Mus musculus: one gene and its partner. The protein of the gene in region 1 interacts with the protein of each later gene in a biochemical or structural test. Links are inferred from orthologs where the notes say so. Each region holds a gene or a part of one and is shown on either strand. Other genes may lie near its edges.

Region 1 (12,263 bases):
GCAGAGCCAGCTGGAGGCTGGCATGGAATGGGGAGGTTGGGAGGGCAAGGAAACTATCTGGGCAAAAAAAGTCCGCCAGGTGACCAGAATGAGAGGGTCTATTACAGCATGAAGGTGGGTTAGGCAGGAACAAGGACAAAGGAACAAGGACCTCAGAGCTAGGGCCCACAGAAGTGGGATCTCTGTGGGTGCATTCTGTAGGGTGGGGATCAATGCACAGTGAATGGTACAGGAAGACCAAAGGCCTAAGGGGGCTCAGGGAAGTTACACCAGTCAAAGGGAAGAACTGTTGTGTGATCTTCTCAGTATCTGCTCCCTTACAGACATGTGCCTGTGAAGGGCTAGAGCTCAGCTCATCTGCCTTGCCTCCAAGCCTTCGCATTTCCTGTTCCTAGAACCTGAAATGCTTCCTAAACCCCAGTCTGGCCTTGAGCCTTCTGAAGGGCTACCTGCTCCTCCACACAGTAACTACTACATGTGCCGGGCGGTGGTGGCACACGCCTTTAATCCCAGCACTTGGGAGGCAGAGGCAGGAGGATTTATGAGTTTGAGGCCAGCATACTCTACAGAGTTGAGTTCTAGGACAGCCAGGGCTACACAGAGAAACCCTGTCTCGAAAAACCAAAAAAAAAAAAAAAAAAGAAAAAAAAAGAACCACTGCATGTGTGCCTTCCCTGTGGAGGTATGGTGGTGAAGCAGTGTACCCCAGCCATGCTGTCAGACCTGTTAAACACTCGGGACTCTCCAGTGTGCCTAGTTGTTTTGTACACTGGTGCCTATGTGGACACTCCATCCTCCTGAGTGTGGGTCCCACTAGACTCATTAGCTTTCATCTGCACAGCAGCCTCAGCAGCATCCTTAATACCATGGCTATCGTAAGCTGCTAGGCCAGAGGCCTCTGGGCTGGGGAGTACAGACTGCTGAGGGAAAAGACAAACCTGGTTTACAGCTTAGTGTGGAACTGGCTGGCTGCAGACTGCGTCAGATTGTACCTGAATCTGTAGTGTGAGGAAAACCAAAGGCCTAAGGGGGCTCAGGGAAGTTACACCAGTCAAAGGGAAGAACTGTTGTGTGATCTTCTCAGCATCTGCTCCTATACACAGACATGTGCCTGTGAAGGGCTAGAGCTCAGCTCATCTGCCTTGCCTCCAAGCCTTCACATTCCTGTTCCTAGAACCTGAAATGCTTCCTAAACCCCAGTCTGGCCTAAATCCTCTCTGGCCAGTTTCTACTGTCCAATAACCAAGTTGTCAAAGAAAGAATAGGCACTAAGACACTAAGTGGGAACAGCTAGGAGGCTTTTTTAATCTAGAACTTTCCTTGGCTGTAAGAACCATAGCTTCCACATAGCTGAGCCAACAGGGTTACAAGCAAAGGGATGAAAAATATCAGCTAAGCTATTTCCTTGACGAGCACATGAGGAGCTAGTATGAGATCTGCCAGAGCAGGGAGTGCCTTTGGAGGCCTGCTCCATTACAGGGTCTGACTGATGACAACAGCTCTCTGAAAATGGACAGCTCACAGGGAAGGCTTTACCCCAGTGCAGCCGGAGTCTTCTCTAGGGATGAAGGATGGTTATGAGACAATAGTCAAAACCTAGAAGTCACTAAGGCTTTCTTAGGAGCCTTCCTTGCCCCTGGGGGCTTGGTACTGGCTGCACATTATGGAAGATGGTGGGCCAGCCAGACAAAATGTTACGTAGAAGTGGTCAGAGGCTCCCAACCTTCCAATCCCTCAGAGGTTTGCTTCTGGTTCTGGTCAGATGTTGGTATCCCTTCCTGTCCCTGAACCACAGTGTTATCCAGGCCATGCTGGACTGAACTTAGGGACTGTGCGTCTTTTCTCCTGCCCTGCCCATTTCCATTCCAGATTCAGGGATCTCAAGAGATGCTCTTGTCAACAGAGAGCCCTCCCCCTCAGGAGAGCAGGATGGAACAGGTAACTCACCCTTTCCGTTGGTCAGCCAGTGAGCTGCCCCGAGTCAGAGCAAACATGTCAAAGTCATCTTCCAGGTGACCTGAGGTCTCCAGAGACTGCAGGCCAGCTCTCACACTTCTGGAGCCAAGGTCTGCAGAGACAGAAGGGCCAGGCAAGAGGCCTGCTGTTCCATTTGCTCTTCCCATGTTCCATCTGGGACTAGGGCTGCTTGCTTGAAGAGCATTAGGGGTGAGGTGGAGGGATTTGGATGGGAAGCCGACTACTGCCCGAGAGCAGTAGGAAGCCCTTCATTTCTGCTGAGTGTGCTCACTTCTAAAGTGGTACCACAGCCGCCTCCTCCCGCTGTGGTGAGGATTAGAAAACAGGAAATCCCTGCCTGTATCACCTGCTAGAGCAGTGGTTCTCAACCCGTGGATCGAATGACCCTTTCACAGGGTTGCATATCAGACATTTACATTATAATTCATAACAGTAGCATAATTACAGTTATGAATTATCAATGAAAATAACTTTATGGTTGGGGGTCACCATAGCATGAGGAACCGTGTTAAAGCATTAGGAAGGTTGAGAACCACTGAGCTAATGGAAGAGGCTGAGCAGCAGAACAGTGCTCAGATCCGACTGCTCACACATGTGGGAGCAGAATGCATTTCTGGGGTTTGGCGTGGAGCAGGCAGTCAATAATATTAAACTCAATTGTAAGCAGACCTTGTGGTGCCAGCCTGTAAGCCCAGCTCCAGGGGAGACTGAGAATAGCCTAGGTTACTAAGCACATTCAAGGACAGTTTGGGGAAATTTGTGAGGCCCTATCTCAAAATTAAAGGGTTGGAATATAGTTCAGTGGTAAAGCACTTGTTTAGCTTGAGGCTTAATCCCCAGCACAAAACAAAACACCCAAAATAAACAACAACAACAACAGCAGCAGCAGTAGCAGCCCAGGAACAACAAAAAAGATAATGACTGCTAATATTACAGGTATACCCACCTGTAATCTCAGGTTTTGGGAGACTGAGGCAGGAGGATGGAGAAAGTTTGAGGCCTACCTAGACAGGCTACTGAGCACTTAGCAACAACCTGGATCAAAAGCCAGCAAAATCAAATCAAACCTAAATTATCTATTTTTTTTTCCCCAGAACAAAGCACCAAAGGAAACCAAGCTGGAGTTTAACTCAGTGGCAAAAATATTGTCTAGCATGGCCAAGGTCCCGAGTTCTATCCTGCAGTGTCACCGGAACGGAGCGCCTTCTGGCCTCGCCCTGATAGAAGCCGCTTTCTGGCAGTTTCTTGCTCTATTCTTCCAACCTTGAAGAGGGGCCCATTCCTTCTTTCCTTCTTCAAGTAGGAAGTGATTACTGAGGCTGAGCAGTCGATTGTCTGATGGTCCCCAGGATGTTCAGGTGGGGTGGATGGAGGGGATGGGGAGGCAGGGCAGAGGGATGGTTAGAGTGCAGTGGGATTTATATTATCCAAGGGGCTCAGGGACATTGGTACTCCCAGGGCATTCTCACAAGTTTTGCCCAATCCTGTAGCAAGATTTGGCTTGGGATCCCAGCAAAGTAAGATGTGGACCAATGCTCTGCTGTTGGCGAGCACAGGAACTTTGAAGCTACCCACACATTGAAACATACCCTTGGCTGGAGTCCCCAGCATACTTACTCATTCCTGCCAGTTGAGATGAGAGGTTGTTTGTGGCTGCGGGGTCAGGACCCATGTCAATCAGGTCAGTAGCTAGCTCAGCTTCACTGGAGGCCTGAGGTGAGGGGAGATGCCTGGATGAACCTTTCAGGATGCAGAGATCTGCCTCCAGGCCCCAACATGTCTGAATGGGAGCTGGGGACTTTCTCCTCCACCTGGGCTCCAGCTCAGCTACACCCCTGGGAGGCTGGGAAGGCCCTGAGGTACAAACTGGTGGTGGCAGAGCCTTATTTCCCTTAAAGGGATAGTGGTGTAAGAAGTCAGAGACTTCCCTATGAGCCTAAAAAGAAGCACCAGTATCCTTTACAAGGAAGGCATCAGGGAGACGGTGAGAACTTCCCTCTCACTTCTATCAATAAAGCATGACACAGTCCCACAAGAGTTGCCTCTTACCTTAGCAGTCTGGCCTGTTCGGAAGCGTTCAAACCTACAAGACAGAAAATACCCCAGTCAAAAAGAACAGATGGACACAGTTCCCAGAGGACCCCAGATCATTACCAGGATGAGGAGATAACTGGTCTACCCTCACAGATGCAGCGCATGCTCGCTGTTCTCATGCTATCACTAGCAGAGCCCCTGTTTCGCTTGCACAGGGCTGGGAGGCATTTGATCACTCATAGGAACACTTTGCAATGGTCAGCAAGAAACAAGGTCACAGGAACACAAAAGAAAGGGACACTCAGCAAGCAGAGTTGAGCACTGCTTTGTCAACTGTCTAGTTACTTACTCTACATTTGAGAATGTATGGTTGGCTCTCAAAGATGGCCACTTGTCTCTAACCCTGACTACTTAGGGGCCAGGGGCTAGGGAGGTAGGTGGAGAAGACCTTAGTGACCAGCCTGTTGGAGTTCTGGCCTGGTATAAAGGACATCACTTTTGAATTCATTTTCTGTTCTAATGTCTCTGGGCACCTGCCTGCTAGCTGAGGTGATGACTGAGTTGAGGCACTGAGTAGCAGTTGGCTGGCACCAGAACAAACTGGTAAATTAGGGGCCTGATGCTAGAGAACTGGGGGACTACCACACAGTGCACCTCAAGATGGCAAAGAAGGAGCGGGGCGGTGGTGGCGCACCCCTTTAATCCCAGCACTTGGGAGGCAGAGGCAGGTGGATTTCTGAGTTCGAGGCCAGCCTGGTCTACAAAGTGAGTACCTGGACAGTCAGGGCTACACAGAGAAACCCTGTCTCAAAAACAAAACAAAACAAAACAAAACAAAACAAAACAAACAAACAAACAAAACAAGATGGCAAGGAGGAGAGGATGTGCATCCTCTTGGGCTAGTGAACAGGAAAAACTGGCCAACTGTTGCCCTCAGGGGCCCAGCCCCTCTCGACTGACTGCAAACCACACAGCAAGTGGGGAACACACAATAGACACAAGGAGTGGGAGGTGGCTAGATAATAACCATTTCTAGAGCAGAGCACTTTGCTTCCTGCTTTTATGACTACCCACTACCCAAGCAGCTCAGTGACGGGGAGAGAGCTGGGGGCTCTGGTAGCTTGCTGATGTCTGAAAAGGGCACAGGGAAAATGACTGAGTAGCCGAGGCCACGGCCCAGGTGAAGGTGTGGCAGGACTACCGTTCATGGCGCAGAAACACGTTGTTGAGGTTGTCGTTGATCATGAGCAGCTCCTCCGTCAGCTGCTCATTGGAGATGCGTGGGATAAGCTCCAGGATCCGCTGCTGCATGGCACGGCAGGTGCGGTTCAGTTCCTACGGGGAGGAGCGAGACATTGAGGCCACACGAAGGACAAGGCTACTCCTCATCAACAGTCCTGGAAGAGGGGTCTTCATGGCTCCACAAGCCTGTTCTCAAGATCACTGCTCAGGTGCTGCAGTGTGGTTACAGTCTTTGAGTTGTGAGATGGGCTCTCACTGTCCCCTAGGCTTGGCCTCAGGTGACCCACAACTTCTGGAGTAGCTGGAAGTGTTAGGCTTCACAATAACATGTAAAGTACCGGACTGAGTCCTGATAATGACTGTGCTGCTTTAACAGGACTGTGTGCAGACTGCAGAGTCAAGTTTTAGCCACCACGTTTGCTTACTTAGAAAAACCTCAGCCTCCTGGACCAGCCAGTCTGGCCCATGTGGTAAGTAGCACAAACAGGAGAGACACTGCCTCAAACAGAGTTGAAGGAGAGAGCTGGCTCCCTAAGGCTGATCTCTTACTTCGATAGCAAGCTGTAGTATTGCCATGTCTCACTCACACACACACCACAGTCACAGATGCACACCTAAGGGGAAAACAGAAGAGTGAGGAGGGTGAGGAGGATGACGGACCTGAGGATGGGGTCGGGTGTGAACACGTTTAACTTCTCTGTTACTTCACACAAGCTTTTGCCCCACTTTTCTCATGGATTGGCTTTTTTCTCTTTTAGTAAAACTTATTTTGGAACAATCTTTCAGATTTATTGAAGAGCTGCAATATGGCACCAAGGTTCTCATGTGCCTTTACCCAGTTTGACATTTGTCAAAACCAAGGCATCAACACTGAAATCAACTAAACTACGTTTCCTGCTAATATCTTTTTGTTTCCTGTTTCTAGATCCTACATGTATTTAGGCACCATGTTACTGATTGGGTTTTAATCACAGTTAAACTTGTTTTGGAAAAAAGAAAAAGATTAAGAGGTTGGGTGTTATGCTATGAATCTGTGACCCGTATAGTCAGGGACTGAGACAGGGGGATGGAGAATGTGCAGGACCAGGCTTGGCTGCATCATGAGACCTTTACTAAAAAATAAGTAAGTAAAATAAACCTCCTTTGGTCTACAGGCAACTGTAGGGAGACTGGTCACCTTTTCTCCAGCACCTGCCATGGATATGCCAGCACACTTTCTCTTGTAGCATCAAAGATGAGGCACTTCACCAAGCTCTGTCTTTTCATGGACCTTGTTCCCCACCCACCCCACCCAGGCCTCCTGGGGTTTCTTCATCTGCACAGGGAGTCTTTCAACATCTCTGGCCTCCCCTTCTCTTCCTCCTATGATGAAGTATAACTGACATTAGTTTCTGCTTCCTCATCGGTCCCTCTGGACACAAGAAGAGCCTAGACTGAAGTCGTTGCTACAAGTCACAAACCCTGGATTTGCTACCTACCAGCCACAGTAACCACAGGCATGTTACAGTCTCTTTGCCTTAGTTTCCTGATCTGGAGAATGGGTTTGTTTAGGCTATGAATGAATGTATATCAAGCACCTACATTGAGCTTGATACAAAGAGTACTCATTATGTGGGCACTGACTCTGTGTCACCTTGACAGCTGGCTCCAGCCTTCTGAGTATCCCAGACTACTCATATCTGCATGGACTTGGCTTGGGACATATAACACTATAACAACTCTTAGTCAACCTCCTTTCTTCATCTAGTTCTCACACTCAAAGAGTCCACTCAGCTAAGATACTCCTACTTTATTCCCCCACCCCCAAATATAAGGATCTCTGAGCAGTCACAGGGGCATAAAGACCTGGCTTCAAAACTGCTCTCTGAGGGTTGGTGGGAGGGCGATACAGACAGCACACAGAGCATTCTGCACACAGAGCATTCTGTCCTTCTACACATTCTGGAGACTCTGGCTTTGTCAGTTCCTGACTTTCTCACTGCCTTCCTCAGTGTCCCCTACAGGAAGGCTGCCTAAACCCCCCTCAGTCCTGCGCCCCACTCCATATGAAGACAGGATCAGGTGACTATCATATGACACCCAGGAGCAAAATCCAGCATTTCCCACTGGCCTCAGCTCCCCAAGACTGGATGGATGGTCACTCCTCTCAAAGCCCACACTGCTTTTTCCCTCCTGTTTGCCACCGCCAACACTGTGACGGGTGGGAATCGGCCCTTCTGGCTTTTCCCAGTGTTGTCTGTGCTCACCAGTACTGGGCGGAGGAGTAGATGCTTCACATGTACTATCTCCTTTAACTCTCATGTCCTGCTTGTATCAAAGCAGCCACACAGATGGAGAAAACGAGGGGTGGTTTTGTTCAAGTCATAAAGCAGCAGAATTAAGATGTGAATTCCTGTCTGATGCAAATCCCAGGTTCCTGGTTGTAATGTTTTCTATTGCCTGAGAGCTCCCAGCAAAAACAAAGGACTGCAATGTAGACAGGGAGGAAACAGGTGTGGCTGCACACAGGGTCACTTTGGTGGGGGCTGAACCTGGAGGCAGGCTGTTTGCTCACCTGTAGTAGCTCCAGGTCTGCAGGCTCTACCTGGGTGGGCACCAGCTCTGTCAGCATCTCTGACATCACTCGCACGTTTCCGCTCACCATCTCCAGCTCACTGCGCAGCTTCCCAATCTGAAATGCACCATTGTAAGGGGGAGAAAAGCCAGAGTCTAGAGCCCATGCCTCCTCCAGTCGTGTGGCCCAGGCACTATTCAGCCAACACTTTCTCCACACAGCTTCCCTCCTGACTCCTGCGGATCAAGAGCCTGCAGAAGCTTCCTCCCACTTCACAGCCCCTCACAGAGGTGCTACCAACCGCTGCCATCTCCCAACCAGGAGCCAGGAACAGAGGCAAGTTGAAAGTCGTGTGACAATCGGAGGGGAATAGCCAGTGAGGGTGGTTGGAAGAGTGCCAGCATCTCTTGGGGCCAAGATGGCAATTAATGAGGCCCTAGGGATGGTTCTCCTAAGGATTAGGAAGGCAGGTTGCAGAGTCCCCTTATGCCTGGGAGGACAGAGTAGGTTTTGTCTGTGTCTTTACCTTCAGATTCTTTAGGGCCCAGGTTTATCCAAAAGTAAGCGCAAGGCCTGATACCCATGTGAATTAGTACCAGTGATCGAAAAGAGCCAAGGTTCACAATGATGGTGGTCAGTGTCCTCAAACAGATGAGGTGTGAGGGCCACTCTGCAGTGTCTTTTATGAACTCGGAGGACACTGTGTTCACTTTGAATACTGAGAAGCAGATGAAGCACTGCTCCCTACCCCCACCCCCCAGATGTACCTGGCTGAAGAATCCTCTTATAATGGGATGGCTCATAAATCTAGTGGCTAGGAGACTACATTTGGGGAAATACTGGTATATTCTAAATTGTGTGATTGAGTGACAATAAACTTCAGAATTTAAATTCATGACTGTGACAGCAGCTCCCATTTCCTGACTAGTTAATAAGCGCCAAGCACTGAACATGCGCCATCACAGGTGGGCTAACTTTATGGAGCTCAGGGATGAAGAAACAGGCACGCAGGGACAAGCACCATCCATGCCCATTGAAGCTGACCAAGAGCACACCCCACAGTGCCAGGCACAACGGCTTGTTTAATAACTCCTGGTGTGAGTGAACAAGCTGCTCATCACCAGCTTGCCATCCAAACCCAAAGGGATCTAACCACAAAGGAGCCTAGGAATTACATCACCACACCACAGCATCCTAACACGCCCAAGAGGCCAAAGGGGCTATGAAATCAAACAAGAATACTCAGTTTTACTTAGTAAGAACCTTCTAGCACTAATTAGTCTTAATATACAGACTTTAGAAAAACTAGTTAAAATCAGAAACAAGATAGATACTTGTTTTGGATTTTAGAGTAATTTTACAATTTTGTAGACTTTACATGCTCAGAGAGCCAGCCTGCTCTCGTCATGTTTGTGGTGGTACAGTTTCATAACGTGGTATAAGACAGCACCAAGCTTCTCTTTGTTGGGCTGAGACCATGCACTATACACAAGTGGTCAGGGAACAGTTCTTGGGAATTAAGTGTTTCTCATTTGTATCATGTTTGTGAATCTTTACTTCCAGCTAAGTCTTTATACTTCACTGGTGATGGTCTAAGGTCTGAGAAGGCCTCAAGCCCAGCTCAGTACCACACCTCAAATGACCAATAATCTAGATTACAGCCACCTGGTCTGAAGTTGGTAATACTCTAGAGCTAGCCATAGGCTAGAGAAACTTCCCCAGAATCTCAAGCTAAGCTTCTAAGCTTCCTCATGAGGAATTGTGGGAGGCCTCAGTGGAGTACAAATAAAATTTCTCATTTTGTGAAGATGCAGATCTCTCTTCCTCACCCACCTTCTTTCTATGACAAGAGTTTCACTATGCATCCCTAGCTAGCCTGAAAGTCTCCATGTAGATCAGAGGCTCTGAACTCACACACATCCACTTACCTCTGTCTCTCAAGTGCTGGGATTAGAGGCATGCCACCAACCCCAGCAAGCATACAGATCTTTTATGGTTGTCTTCAACTTGAATCTCAATTCAGATGAAACTCTATGTGAGCCTACTAGCACATAGATAAAGTGGAGAGGCCCAAGTGGAAGGGAACACCTGCCTGTTGGCCATTTCCTCCCCACAGTGCTCCACAAAGGGCTCCATGGAGGGAAGACTTTGGAAAATGACAGTAGTATTGAACTGCATTCTAGAAGTCAGAGAGACTGGAACTTGAATCTCAGTAGATTCTGATGAGCTGTGTGATTCTGAGTTGGTGGATTTGCCTGTCTGAGCCTTATCCGGACCATAGGATGAACAGTACACATCTATGGGCTGCTGAGAAGACAAAGGAGTTTCCACAATGCTAGGGGCCATCTCTGACACCTCCCTGGATCTTCTGGTTCTGCCACAGGCTTGTCTGTTTACCTGCTCAGGAGTCGGTGTGATGGGTGAGTCACCCGGGAGAACAGCTGGAGTGGGCAGAGGGGTGGCATGCTGGCTCAGGTCTCCACGCTGACTGGTGTTGGAACTCACAGAGTTCTGTCTGGATGGTGTCTCTGAGTTGAATACAGTCTAAGGGGCAAAAGACAGGGTGAGTGAGGCTTCCTGGAAAGGCACTGTAGCCCCCTCAGGATAATTCTCATCTCACCCAAAATTCTCCTTACTCTCTGGGGTGTGTGGATGGGCGACAGCATGTCCAGGTCAGTCATGGGAAATTCTAGGCCCTTCCTTCGCAGGTCCTCGTAGACAGCAACAACACCTGTCAAATCAGGTGAGCTGCGGAACGCGTCAGCCCAGGACTGAGAGGGGACAAGGGGACATTGCCTGTAACCACTGCTCACCTTCTTTTCTGTGAGCCTGCCCGACCCTGGCACCTAGACAGAGGACAGAGTGCTTTCCTCCTCTTCCTCCTGTTGCCTGGTCCTCTAACCCCGTGTACCAGGCTCAGCACACAGTGATAAGTCCTGCTGCACACGTAAGCAGCTCACTAGCAGAGTAGAATAGCCCCAGAATTCCCCCACCCCTTGAGGCCACCGATACACCCTACCCTGCCAAAGAGCACACCTGGATGAGGTTCAACACCTTGTCATGCACAATGGTGGGTGGATTGTTCTTCGGCAGGATGGTCCTCACCAGCACATTCTCTACAAAGTCCTGGTTGGCCACCAGTACATGGAAGCGGTGCCCACAGTTCTTAACACATGTTTCCAAGACCTGTAGGTCAAGGTGCCCAAGAGAATGCCCCATCAGGGAAGGGAAGCCCAGCAGAAGACAGGAGGCTTCCAGAAGGGAGCCCCTAGGACATAAGAATGGAAACGGTGATGGATTTGGAGGCTTGCCTCCTAGGGGACTGGGACATGACAGGACAGACAAGACTCCCTTCCTACTAGGCCAGTGCCTATAACCTAACCCTGGTTTCTAGTTCACATCGTCTAGAGCAGTGGTTCTCTATCTTCTTAATGCTTTGACCTTTTGACATAGTTCCTCATGTGGTGGTGACCCCTCAACCATAAAATTATTTTTGTTGCTACTTCATAACTGTAATTTTGCTACTGTTATTTTTGTTTTGTTTTGTTTTATTTTATTTTATTTTTTTTTTGTTTTTTTGAGACAGGGTTTCTCTGTGTAGCCCTGGCTGTCCTGGATCTCACTTTGTAGACCAGGCTAGCCTCAAACTCAGAAATCCGCCTGCCTCTGCCTCCCGAGTGCTGGGATTAAAGGCCTGTGACACCACGCCCGGAGCTACTGTTATCTTAATGAATCTTAATGTAAACATCTGATATGCAGGATATCTGATATGTGACCCTGGTAAAAGTCATTTGACCCCCAAAGGGGTTGTGACCCATACATTTCGAAACACTGGTATGGAAGCTTAGAGATTCAGGAGGAAGCAGATACAACTTAGGTTGGTAACATCATGACCCAGGGACCAAGCACTGACCTCTTCCCAAGGCCTAGCAGAAGCTGCTTGTGCTTTGCAGGGTCGCAGGGCCATCTGGATCTAGGCACTACCGTGTAGAGGCTGGGATAGGGTGTTCTCCTGCCTATTTTCCAGCCATGTTGCTCTGAAGACAGGATGTCTGATGCTTGGCCCATGCTGGCCTGTCTTAGTACTGAGGTCAACACTGTTCTTAGACACAGGCATTTGTTTTACGTTCATTTTTTAGGGTGCAGTTTTAGAGGAAAGTGGCCCCAGTGTATCTACTCCCCATGTTAAGGCTGGAAATTTCCTTTCTAGCTCCCTTGCTTTGTCATCCACCTTCACCAACAGTGTGAACAGGAAAACAATTTGCCCATGGTCACTTTCTTCTGAGTCTTCAGGTGAGAAACCCAAGCATGGATGGGAATCCTGCTGGACCTAACTAAGGAGAAGCAGCTTTCAGCAGACCACGGTCCAGCCATGGAAGAGATCATGGAGAGATGGACAGATGAGAGAGGCAGCAGGATATTCACCGTAAGGGCCAGCATGACCTCATGGAAATTC
Region 2 (10,954 bases), on another chromosome or scaffold:
TCAAATCAGTATGTAAGCTCTCAGCTACTGCTGTAACATCAAGCCTGCCAGCCAGCCAGCCTGCCTGCCTGCTACCATACTCTCCATAATGATCAGGGACCAACTTCTGAAACCGCCCCCAATTAAATGCCTTCTTTTATAAGCTGCCTTGCTCATGGTGTCTCTTCCCAGCAACAGAACAGTAACATATTCAGCACCTCAGACAGGTAAAAGAAGAACTATGCAAGGAGAAACCATGTAACTTTCTTTAAAACCTAAAGTAGAAAAAGCTTTCCTAATAAAAATAAAGTGCGGAATAAAAATGTGGAAACTACACAGGAAAAGATTAGTAAACTTGGCAATACGTGAAAAGGAAAATCTTTTCATGAAATAAAATCAACGACAATGTAAAAAGACAAGAGATGGGGAAGGCAAAGCCCCTGCAGCCCCTGCCAGAGTTAATGCCTGCAACATGAAACTGTGGTTTAGTTTCTGTGGTGCTGAGGACCGAGCCTAGGGCTTTGTGCATGCTAGGCAAGCATTCTATGGCTGAGTCCAATGCTTGCAACATAGAAAAGGTAGCTGAGAACAAAGAAGAGACCCACAGCCCCAAAAGACACATGACCAGAGGCTGGAGGGGACCTCACAAAAGAAAGCAAATGTTCCTCAGATGCACAGAACCTGCTCAGGCTTGCTCCAGGTTAGAGAAACTCAGCTGACAGCTGAACTGCAGGAGCCCATCAGGGAGCAACAGGACCTGAGAGGTATGCCCATCCTAGACTTTATCCTGCGCTTAGTATCTTGTCATCCAGAGATCTGTCCCAGTCACACTAGGAACAACTGAAAAGTCCCTAGAAGAGACACTCCAGTGGTGTGAGTGGCACCTGAAAGAAGGCTGTGTGGCAGCTGGGGTCTTCTGGGCACCTAAGTAAGACAGGCAGAAGAGGGGAAAGAGACTGAGATCTGTGTGGCTGCAGATACTCAGCATACACTGAGTCAAGGAGAGACAGACAAAACAGCGCTGACTTGGGCACCTATCGACCGCAGGGTATAGCCTGGAGGAGCACTGTGGAAAATTCAATCTCTCTGAGCCCACTCTGTTTTACACTTTGTTTCTGAATCAAATTGTTCACATAATATAGAACAAAACCAAAAGTAAAGCCGAGGACTATTTGACAACCAACCTCAACAAATATACCTGGGTCACCAAATACACAGCCTGTAGAAAGATGAAGTGAGTTCAAATGGTTTACATGCAGTGACTAGATAAACCCCAGTAAAGCCATGTGTTCCAAGAGCGCTAACTGCAAGACAGCCTGCTAAGGACCCTCACAGAGAGCTGAGTCGCTGAGTCCCCATATGTTCATGTACTACCTGGTCCCTTGTACTTTCTTTCCTGGTTCACACCTGGGAGGAACTTCCTTAGGGGACTTTGCCCCCACATGCTGAGCCTCATAGAAGCAAGGGGGAAGGCAACAGGATAAAGGATTTGCAGAGGGAAAACCAGGAAGGGGGACAACATTTGAAATATAAATACACTAAATAACCAATTTTTAAAAAGTTCATCTTAAGGCTTAGTTTTTAACCTCTCAATCTCAATATTCAACTCAGTTCTTGCCACTATTGTGTGCTTTTAGCAGTCTGTTGATTTTTGCTTGCAATGTTGTTTTATCTTGTTTTTAAAGCCTTTAAAAGAAAAAACAAAACAAAACTGCACACATGTCCCAGCAAGGCTTCTGGGGCATTACGGCTGGGGCATTACTGCTTCTGCTGGTCCCAGCAGACAGCTCACTTCTCAGTGTTCTTAACTTTTCATTGCATTTACATGTGGTTGCCATTGGATGCTGGTAGGCCTGCATCATCACCTGCTTTTCCAGAAGGAATGCTTTTATTCCTGCATGCCCCAGAATCTGGACTACCTGACTGTGGACCACAAACTAAGACAGCAGGGAGTAACTGAATCATGAATTCCTGTAGCTCATCCCTTGCCTTCTTGTCTCTGTCAGGTCAGCTTTTTCCTAACTGGAGCTGGGGATGAAAATCTTAACTCTTTGTCTTAGTTAGGGTTTTACTGCTGTGAACAGACACCATGGCCAAGGCAACTCATTTATATAAGACAACATTTAATCGGAGCTGGCTTTCAGGTTCAGAGATTCAGTCCATTATTAATCATCAAGGTGGGAAACATAGCAGTCCAGGCAGACATGGTGCTGGAGGAGCTGAGAGTTCTACATCTTGATCTGAAGATACTCAGAAGATTGACTTCAAGGCAGCTAGGAGGGTCTCCAAGCCTACCCCACAGTGACATACTTCTAACAAAGTCACACCTCCTAATAGTGCCACTCCCTGGGCCAAGCATTTCAAACCACCACACTCTTTTAACATCCCAGCTTGACAACAGTCCCATTCTTGAGTCAAGGCTGCAGGACTGCCATCAATCATCTTGTACCTGAGGCTTCAGACCAATATCCATCCACATATGCCCAGCGCTGTGCCCATCTCCCTCCTGACTACAGCTGTGGCCCCAAACAGGATTCTTCTACTCTTTGGCTCCCTCCTGCCAGGCCACACAGTCTCCAGCAGGATATTTTTCTAACAGAGCCCACAGGGAACAGGAGGAGAGTCTGAAACAGACAACCCCTATACAGGGCCACACAGGTGGACCCGGATAAGGAGTGAACTAAGAACACAACTAGAATTGCACTATTAGGCCCAGACAGGGGGCTAGCCTGAGATGACCACCAGTCTGGTACCATAATGCACAGGCAGGGCATAGAACTCCTGAAACCACCCGGAAGCTGACCCCAGACTCTCAGAAACCTTGGGTGTCACTAAGAGGAACAAGCAAGTGGTAGAGAAATGGAAGAGAAACAGGAATGTAGGCACAATAAAGAAAGGCAGAACTGGAGACTCAAGGGTAGTGAGGAACAGCCTGATGCAAGCAACTGGTGATACCATCTGGGATCATGGGAGAGTCCTGGCCTATGCTGTCACTCATGGACACATCAGGTTCCATGGCCCTGCAGTAGCAGGAGGGGTCTGTTACTATCAAAAGCCAGGTGGAGTCCCTGGTCTGAGCTGATACCTTGGGACATGTTGATGTTTGAGGGTTGTGCAGAACTGGCCCTACCCTTGGGGGGGCATCATAGGAGAGCCTGGGGGTGTGAGAGCAGGAGAGTTCACCCCTCACCCCTATCCTCAGCTAGCTGCAGTACTTGGAAAAACAGGCCCTAAACATCACCTAGAAAACAAAAAGTAAAGTAGAACTGACTCTGGTGGTGGGAGTTTTAGGTGACTCAGTCCCAGGGTTATGAGTATAGGAGAGGTGGCCCTGCCATTTGTTTCCTGTTTGGTGGCATGGATCAGGGAGAGGTCTCTTCCTCTCCACTCGCCCTAACTACCCACAGCAGGCTGGAGAGAGAGCAGGAGAACAGGCCCTGCGCCTCACCCAGGCAACACATTTGGACCTGACAGTGCAGACACGGATGAGCCAACCAAGAGCATGAGAGCTGAAGAGCTGGCTCTGTCCCCAGCTCAGGTACCTTCTCAGGCCCAGAGCTAGGGCTTGATAAACTGCTGGAGTGTGTGAAGGGGCTGGTCCTACAGATCCAAAGCTGCAGGATCTCCATGACACAGGGCACCAACAGGAAAGGCTAGAGGAGTCCCAATGAGGCTCCAGTATAGATGGTGTAGCAGAAGCCAGAGGTCTCATACTAGACCAATGACTCATTGCAATGAACATCTGCAAGAAGCATAGACAAAAGGATATACTGTGGAACACAGTGGAACACACTACAGCTTCCACAACAAGATATTTTCCGCCTCTGTTGGGGAAGGAGGTTGCAAGGGTGAAAGGCAGGTACTGGGGGGGGGGGGGGAAGAGGGAGATAACTCGGATTGGGGTGCTGGGGTGCACAGTGTGAAACTCACAAAGAACTAATAAAAAGTTTAAAAAAATACTCAAGAACAAAAATAGTAAACATTTCCTCAGAGGACTTTATTTTTCTATTTTATATAGACCACTTATTAAATTAGAAGGCTGAAAAGTAAAAATATATCATATAATCAAAGAAAAATATGGACATGGACCCCCCCATTCCCAAAATAATCACAGACAGTTCTGAGAACCATTCCCACCAACCTCCAGACAGTGTACCAGATGATACCAGTGTCTGTAAAGGGTGGCCTGGGAGGGCGAGGGCAGAGCCCAGTCGCACAACACTTCTGTCATCGGGTAGGCATCACTCACATGGTGAGATGAAAGCCTCTGGCCATGTCAGCCCACAAGCGTGCAGCAGGTTACAACTTCAGCCAACCAACATGTCCAGAGAAGAAAACAGGCCAGGCCATCCCTAGATGCATGCCTACACTAGAGCTGGCCCGAGGGGAGGGGGCTCCAGTGAACACCTTGAGAAATTTTGCTACCAACATCAATCTTCAAACTTGGCAAGAGCAGCAATTACACCCAGTGAGAGCCTGGTCCCCATGCAGAAGCCTGTCTGACTCGGCTGTGGCCTCTGCCTCTGAGCTCCTTCTAGGGATGACTCTTCATCTCAACAAGATTCAGGATGGGATGGAAGCCAACAAGCCATGCTCTGATGCCCTGGTACCTACACAGGCGCTGACAAGTGCTGCCTCTCTCCTTGCACTAGATGGGCGCTGACATGAAATTCCAAGACAAAAAAACAGCAAAACCTAGGAGTATCACTCAGGCCTTATAAAATGTGATCTTTCTTCAATCTATTAAAAAAATAAAATGTTCATGACAAAGGGAAGAGTCTGTGTTCAGCTCAAGTCTTAAATCTGTCTTAAAACCATCACTCTTCCTCATTTAAGCAGTCGTAAGTTAGTGAACGCTGCCTCTGAGTGCTGTGGGACTGCTCAGGGGCTGGCAGCAAATCGTGATGCTTCCTATAGAACCTCACAGAACAAAGTGGCCCTGTGTTCAACCTATACCTCCGTAAGGCAGATGCGGATGCACACAGCCGCCACACCTGAGACCTAGAGACAGGTACTGAGTGAGGTTCCTGCTCTGCAGTGTCTGCAGTCTGCTGGTAACACTAAGTGGACCACTTAAGGAGGTTCTGCCTGCCTGACTCATCCACCCTGCAAGAGGGCATCTGCTTACCAAGCACAAGGCCGATCAACAGTCTAGAATGGAGGCTTCCAGTGCCTGGTTGTGTTAAAGTAAGTGGTTGAATCTATTTAATAAACATTGGTCTTTCTTCTCCATTTTGCAGTTAAAAGGTTTAAAGACCTACAACTAAAGAAAAGTGCTTGTTACCACCATCCCATGCTCACCATCACCACATACTGCCTTTAGGCTTACAAAAATAAATACTTATAAACAATACATTTGACAAAAAGCACCCCTGTAGATAACAGCAAGTAGGATATTTTACCGCGTTTTTAGGAGGCAAAGACCAAAAACTGAAGCACTAATTTTCTTATTTGAAGTCCTTCACAACAGTCCAAACTGCTAGGAGTCACCTTCATGCCCTTATTGGTGGATCACATATCCAAACCGGGTGTGCAGATTCTCAGAAAACAAAAAGTAACGGCAATGTAAGGCAAAACTGTCCCACCATAACCCTGTGGCAATGCTGGAGCTTCCTAACAGCACCTTGTGACAGTACTGGTTCTGAGAAAGCTTTCACGGTCTGTATCTTAGCACAAGGCACCACTCAATTTCTCCCTAAATACATGTATGGCCAGGTCACGGGCTCAAAGGTTTGCAACCTAAAATACACTATACAATATCCACTGGTCAGGTACAGGCACCTCTACCTTTATGAAAGTTTAATTTAAGCATGAATTTTTATCACTCAAGCCAAGCTACAGTATGGGTCCACAGAGTATACTGCAGGTCAGTAGTGTCACAATGCTTGAATTTTAGTAGTAAGCACATAGTGCCACACCCACCCATCTCCTTCGCTTGACTCTGGGCTCTGTGATGAAGGTCTATCAACAAGAACAGCCCCTGGAGTAAGACCCATGATGCTGGTACTAAACAAGAGGATGTGGAAAGCAGCCTCCAGCAGTGAGGGCTAATGTGGGGCCTGGCCAACCAAGCACCAGGTCTGGATACCTTCTGTATTCAAGTTGGATTTCTGTGGCTGAAGCCTAGCCAGACAGTGGCAGATAAGCTAGACAGGAGGTTAGAGACCCACTGGATATGGCTGGGAAGCATATCTCACTGGCCAGGACTAGCTGAGGGGCCCATGTTCACATACAACATCAGAAGAGGGAAGGAGCTTTTAGCTTGAAAGTTCTAAAAATAACCTGTAAGTAAGTGCACATGAACTCAGTGCACCCTCAACAACCATCCCAGCTGGACTGAGTAACTCCATGCCATCCATCCATCAACTCAGAAGGATGCTGTACAATTTCTAGTATCTTGGCAGAGGCAGTTGCTTTCTGTAAGAATGCTTTCCAGAATAGGGTGAGGACAGGAGATGCAGGTCCCCAAACAGGACCACTGATCTGTGCAATAACAGGGCCATGCCACCATCACCCAGCTAGAGACTAGGAGAGAACTGTCCCCTAACTCTGTCCCCCAGCAACAATGAAGAGGACTGCCTGCTTAGAACCAAAAATCCACATGCATCCCCGAAATATGTAGGAAGGGGCGGCGCAGATGTCCAAGGAAGGGGTATGTGGATGGTCTTTCATTGGAATCTTGTGGGGATGGTGACCCTGGGGAGCCCTGGGTGGACAAGTCCAAGGGTCAGTGGTGTGAAGCCAAGGGCCACAGGCGGGTCTAGGACTCTTCACCCATTTGCAGCAAGGAATTGATGGCAGCATCTTTGTTCCCTCTCTGGGCTTCAAGCACAGAACGGATTACTTCCCTGTCCATGTTGGGAAACATGTCCTGGATAGCTTTGAGGTCCTCTTCATTACAGCGGGGCTGAGGAGCCACAGCTGGTGGGGGCATGGCCATCGGCACCATGCCAGGGCTGCAGACAGCAGGCATCCCTGAAAACAAAAGTTGAGGTTGGTTAAAAAGAGTGGGTTCAGCCAGGTGTTGTGGTGCCTGACTTTAATCCCAGTACTTGTAAGGCAACAGGAGAGTCTCTAAATTCAAGGCCAGCCTGGTCTACAGAGTGAGTTCCAGGACAGAGACAGTGGGATCACAAAGCTGCAGTGCCAAAGGAAGAAATAATACATCTCACTGGCCTCAAGGGAAAAGGCTACCTTAATCTGACTGGAAAACAGATCCCACAGGGATGCCCATGACAGATGGGATGGGCCATCCTCCTCACTACTGAGGCTCCCTCTCCTGAGGTATTTTCTTTCTGAACAAAAATTCAAGTTGAATATATCTAGTCAAAAATTACAGGGAGCAAGATGAAAATTTGGTAACCACATGTGCTACTTCAAGAACTTAGGAGACTCATCACGGACATGAGTCTTTACTGAGAATGCAGACAACAAACTAGTATGCTTGTTTTACCCAATACTCCAAAGTCCACTTGTGTCAAGATTCTAGAATTCACCTTCACAGCCTAACAAAGGCATTACAATAGTCATGCATATGGCAAGGTATAGCTACATAAAGTACTCCCTGAAAACTTCAAGAAAAGCTGCATATTAGCCTTTCACAATGAAGACAATACATATCAGAAAGTACATCACTTTCCAGCAGCCTGAGGTACCAAGGCCCCCAGTGGGGCACGGGAGCTAATCCTTTTGCCATGAGAGCAAAAAAGGCTGCTGGCAAAGGGCTTAGCACTGATGCTACATGGCTCCCTGCACCTTGTGATAGATGAAGAGGTACAAATTGAGAAACAGAGGCAGGTTTCCTAAGTACCCTCTGGGCCAGGCCATCACCTTCATGTCTCTGTCCTGACTGACCTAGACAGGCTGTCGTCAGTCTGTCACCTTACAAGTTGTCACCAGATAGTGGTGTAGCTGGCATTTGTTACTTTGTGGGTTCTTCTTTCTTCTACCTTTCTCCATCCTTTTGAACTCCTAACACTAGATAGGACAGAAAAACAGGATAGAAAGGAGGGAGGGCTTATCATTAGACTACTTCATGCTGATTAGGGGCATCAAGATCCTTGGGGCAAGTTTGATCTTTGCCATTAGCATATCTAACTACTTCTTGTTTCTTCTTTGCACATACAAACCACAACCAAACACAAACAACAACAAACAACAACCCACCCTGCCTCTCGGGGCTCTAGCACTTATATACCTTTTGAAATGTCTCCAGAGTTGTAAACACTACACAAGAAACTATCTATTGCTGGCAAAATCATGCCTCTGCTAGAGCATGAAGCAAATCATAGTCAATGGCATAACCCTTTGACGCCTTGTCATAAATGGACACAAACTGATAGAGTAGGACCAATTCATTCCCAATAGCAGGGCACTTAGCTACAATGCACACATTATAGACAGTACGCAGACACAGGTCAGTAAAACAAGAGCCTTTTCACCAATAGGATGCCACTCAGAAAAAAAAAGCAAAGGAGCTTTCCATTCAAGAAAAACTGGTGCTTAGCATGGCAGTACAGACAGCCTGGGTCCTAAACGGCCTTGCTGCAACAACCCAGAACTGACACCAACAGCTAAAAACTTCTGGGGCTACCCATGCTGACTAGGGAGCTCAGGGACAGGCTGCATATTACAGGACATTTCCAAGCTCTCAAACTAATGGACTCATAAACACACAGGTAACCCTTGATCCTCCACCTTCAGCTTCAGCTCTGCAAAGCAGCAGCTGTGATCTCCAATTCAAAACCTCAGACATAGACAACAGGGTCTATAAAGCAGCAGGCACCCACTAGCTATGCATTGTTCCCTGGGTAGACCAACAGGCAGTGAGAATAGGCTAACGTGTGAGTCTCCTCATTCCTGTCTAACTGTGCTTGAGTGTAGTCCTGTTTCATGCATGGTCTGTGTACACATACGTCACACTGTGAATAGTCAAGGGTATGAATCTTCCCAAGAGAGCAAACTGCAGCAGAAGCTGATATGAAGCAAGAAACACCACGTGACTTGACCTCACTCCTGAGAAACCTGAGAGCAACAGGAATAAAAATGCCCTGAATGAACTGCTGCTCCTGCTTCTGTGGACACATCACATCGACCGGATGGCATACCCTAATCGTCTCTGCACAGGATACCCCAAGTATTCTGCTAGGACAGCTCTGCCATCATAAACATACAGGAATTATAAGAACCAAAGCTGGGCATTAAGTTTCAACAAAGTAACATGCTTATTAATGCCCCCAATGATTAAGATAAATAAAAAACAAAAAACCATTCAAGAACTTTTTTAGAACTGATTCTCCCTGGGTTCAGAGAGAAGTGGCTAATTCTGGGGCAGAAGGAAATGTACAAGATAGCCAGAGGCTTCCTGTGCCAAAGTCAGGAAGCTCACACAGCATGTGAGACATCAAAAAGCACACAATTCAGCCTAAAGGCTTGGCCAATCTGGGATCACTGAGTGACAAAACAATATAGTAACAAATTAAGAGCTCAGAAAATAAAACAATCCTCAAGTCCACACTGCTACAATTATCAGTGGACAGCTCAGTCTGACAAAAACAGACAGCAACTGTAACCTTGAACACAGTCCTCGAGGTGATACGAAAGGATTCTCAAGAGAATGAAAAGGCAAACTGTGTCCCCTTACCGAATACTACAGTGTGAGCAGCAGAAATGAAAGAGAACAGCTTTCTAAGCAGCATCTGGGTTCTCCTGGCCAGATAGTGAACAGGGCAGCACAAATAACTGCAGGCAGAGCCTGTTACAAGTTCTGGGAAGACCCAGACCACCAGCCCTGTGGTCCGCAGCACGTCCCCTTGTGAAGTGTCCTCACTTCCAGGAAGCATGCTTGCATGGGGACAGAGCAGACATCAAGGCTGGTCTCCAAGGGAAAAATATCCTTTTATTTCTGTGGCAGCTTTTCTATCAGTAGGAAACTATTTCTAACTTTCAAAATGTACATCAAAAGTGAGGATCAAAGCCTATTTATAGAGGAGCCTTCCCTAAAATACACTCTAGAGGCATTACAGAGAATGAAGGACAGGAGCCAAGAAAGTAAACTAGTCAACAGCTTTTATCTTTTGTTTAGAAGTAGTTCTTCTGTTTGTAACTGGACAGAAATTTGTCTTTGTTGCTCCCCACCTCAACACCCTCTACCACCACCCAAAGATATGCTCAAGTCTGCCGCAAACCACCCCCACCCCACCCCACCCCCGCCCCAGTGCCTCTAGATTGACTTTACTTAGAAAGAGGGCAACCTTGTTTGGATAAGACCATGAAGGAGCAGAAAAGCCCCTGTCCAGTGACCTTACAGGACAGAAACACAAAAAGTGCGTGGTGACTCCAAGAATATGAAGACGGACCAGGGAGATATGGCCAGAAACCAAGTCACATCAAGATCTGGAAAAGGTTAGAAGTTCCCTCTCTGGAGCTTCAGAAAGGATTGCAGCCCGTTTGACTCCTGGCCTGAGAAACTGAGGGAAGAGACTTCTGCTGCATTGTTCCATCTGTGACCCCAGTGCCTCTGCTACACTGGGGTACCCTTTGTGCTCATTTCACTCCGCTTGCTTCTCCCTCCACAGACCTCCACAAATTCCATACACAGACTGATGGGACTGCAGTTCAAAAAGGAACCTGGGAGCCACTCTGGGAACCCAACCCTCATACCTCAGGATCCGATCATTGAACTGGACAGGTCAGGACCTTGTATTGGGGACTCTAGAAAGCACACATCCTAAAACTCCACTCTCCAGATTTCTAAGGCTCTTGGGGAACAACCACACTGCTTTAAGGTTTCTCTAAGGCCCTGGGTCACTCCCCACTTGACTGGTTTGCCCTCTACTGCAAACCTACTCCATTCCAAATACTACAGGGGCCTAGAAGCCTGTGAACTTACCCTCCCTTCCCTTTGCAAAGTGCTGCCCTTTGTTCCTGCAGGATGATTTGTCATAGGTAGAAGGCCCAAGTTCTGTCTGTCAGG

What was found.
Region 2: the proteins of Tom1 (region 1) and Tollip form a complex in vitro, tested with the Homo sapiens proteins (3 studies listed by BioGRID and IntAct, with this or other methods). The link is inferred for Mus musculus from reciprocal best matches to the Homo sapiens genes TOM1 and TOLLIP.

What each region holds. Positions count from the first base shown.
Region 1 is NC_000074.6:75,050,238-75,062,500, reverse strand, and holds part of Tom1 (target of Myb protein 1), read right to left. Parts: coding exon 12,233-12,263; intron 10,994-12,232; coding exon 10,844-10,993; intron 10,579-10,843; coding exon 10,444-10,578; intron 10,352-10,443; coding exon 10,205-10,351; intron 7,925-10,204; coding exon 7,808-7,924; intron 5,347-7,807; coding exon 5,213-5,346; intron 4,061-5,212; coding exon 4,027-4,060; intron 3,689-4,026; coding exon 3,595-3,688; intron 3,313-3,594; coding exon of another isoform or gene 3,241-3,312; intron 2,069-3,240; coding exon 1,948-2,068; intron 1-1,947.
Region 2 is NC_000073.6:141,877,628-141,888,581, forward strand, and holds the end of Tollip (toll-interacting protein), read right to left. Parts: intron 6,955-10,954; coding exon 6,740-6,954; 3' UTR 3,953-6,739; downstream 1-3,952. UniProt on the Homo sapiens protein: Component of the signaling pathway of IL-1 and Toll-like receptors. Inhibits cell activation by microbial products. Recruits IRAK1 to the IL-1 receptor complex. Inhibits IRAK1 phosphorylation and kinase activity.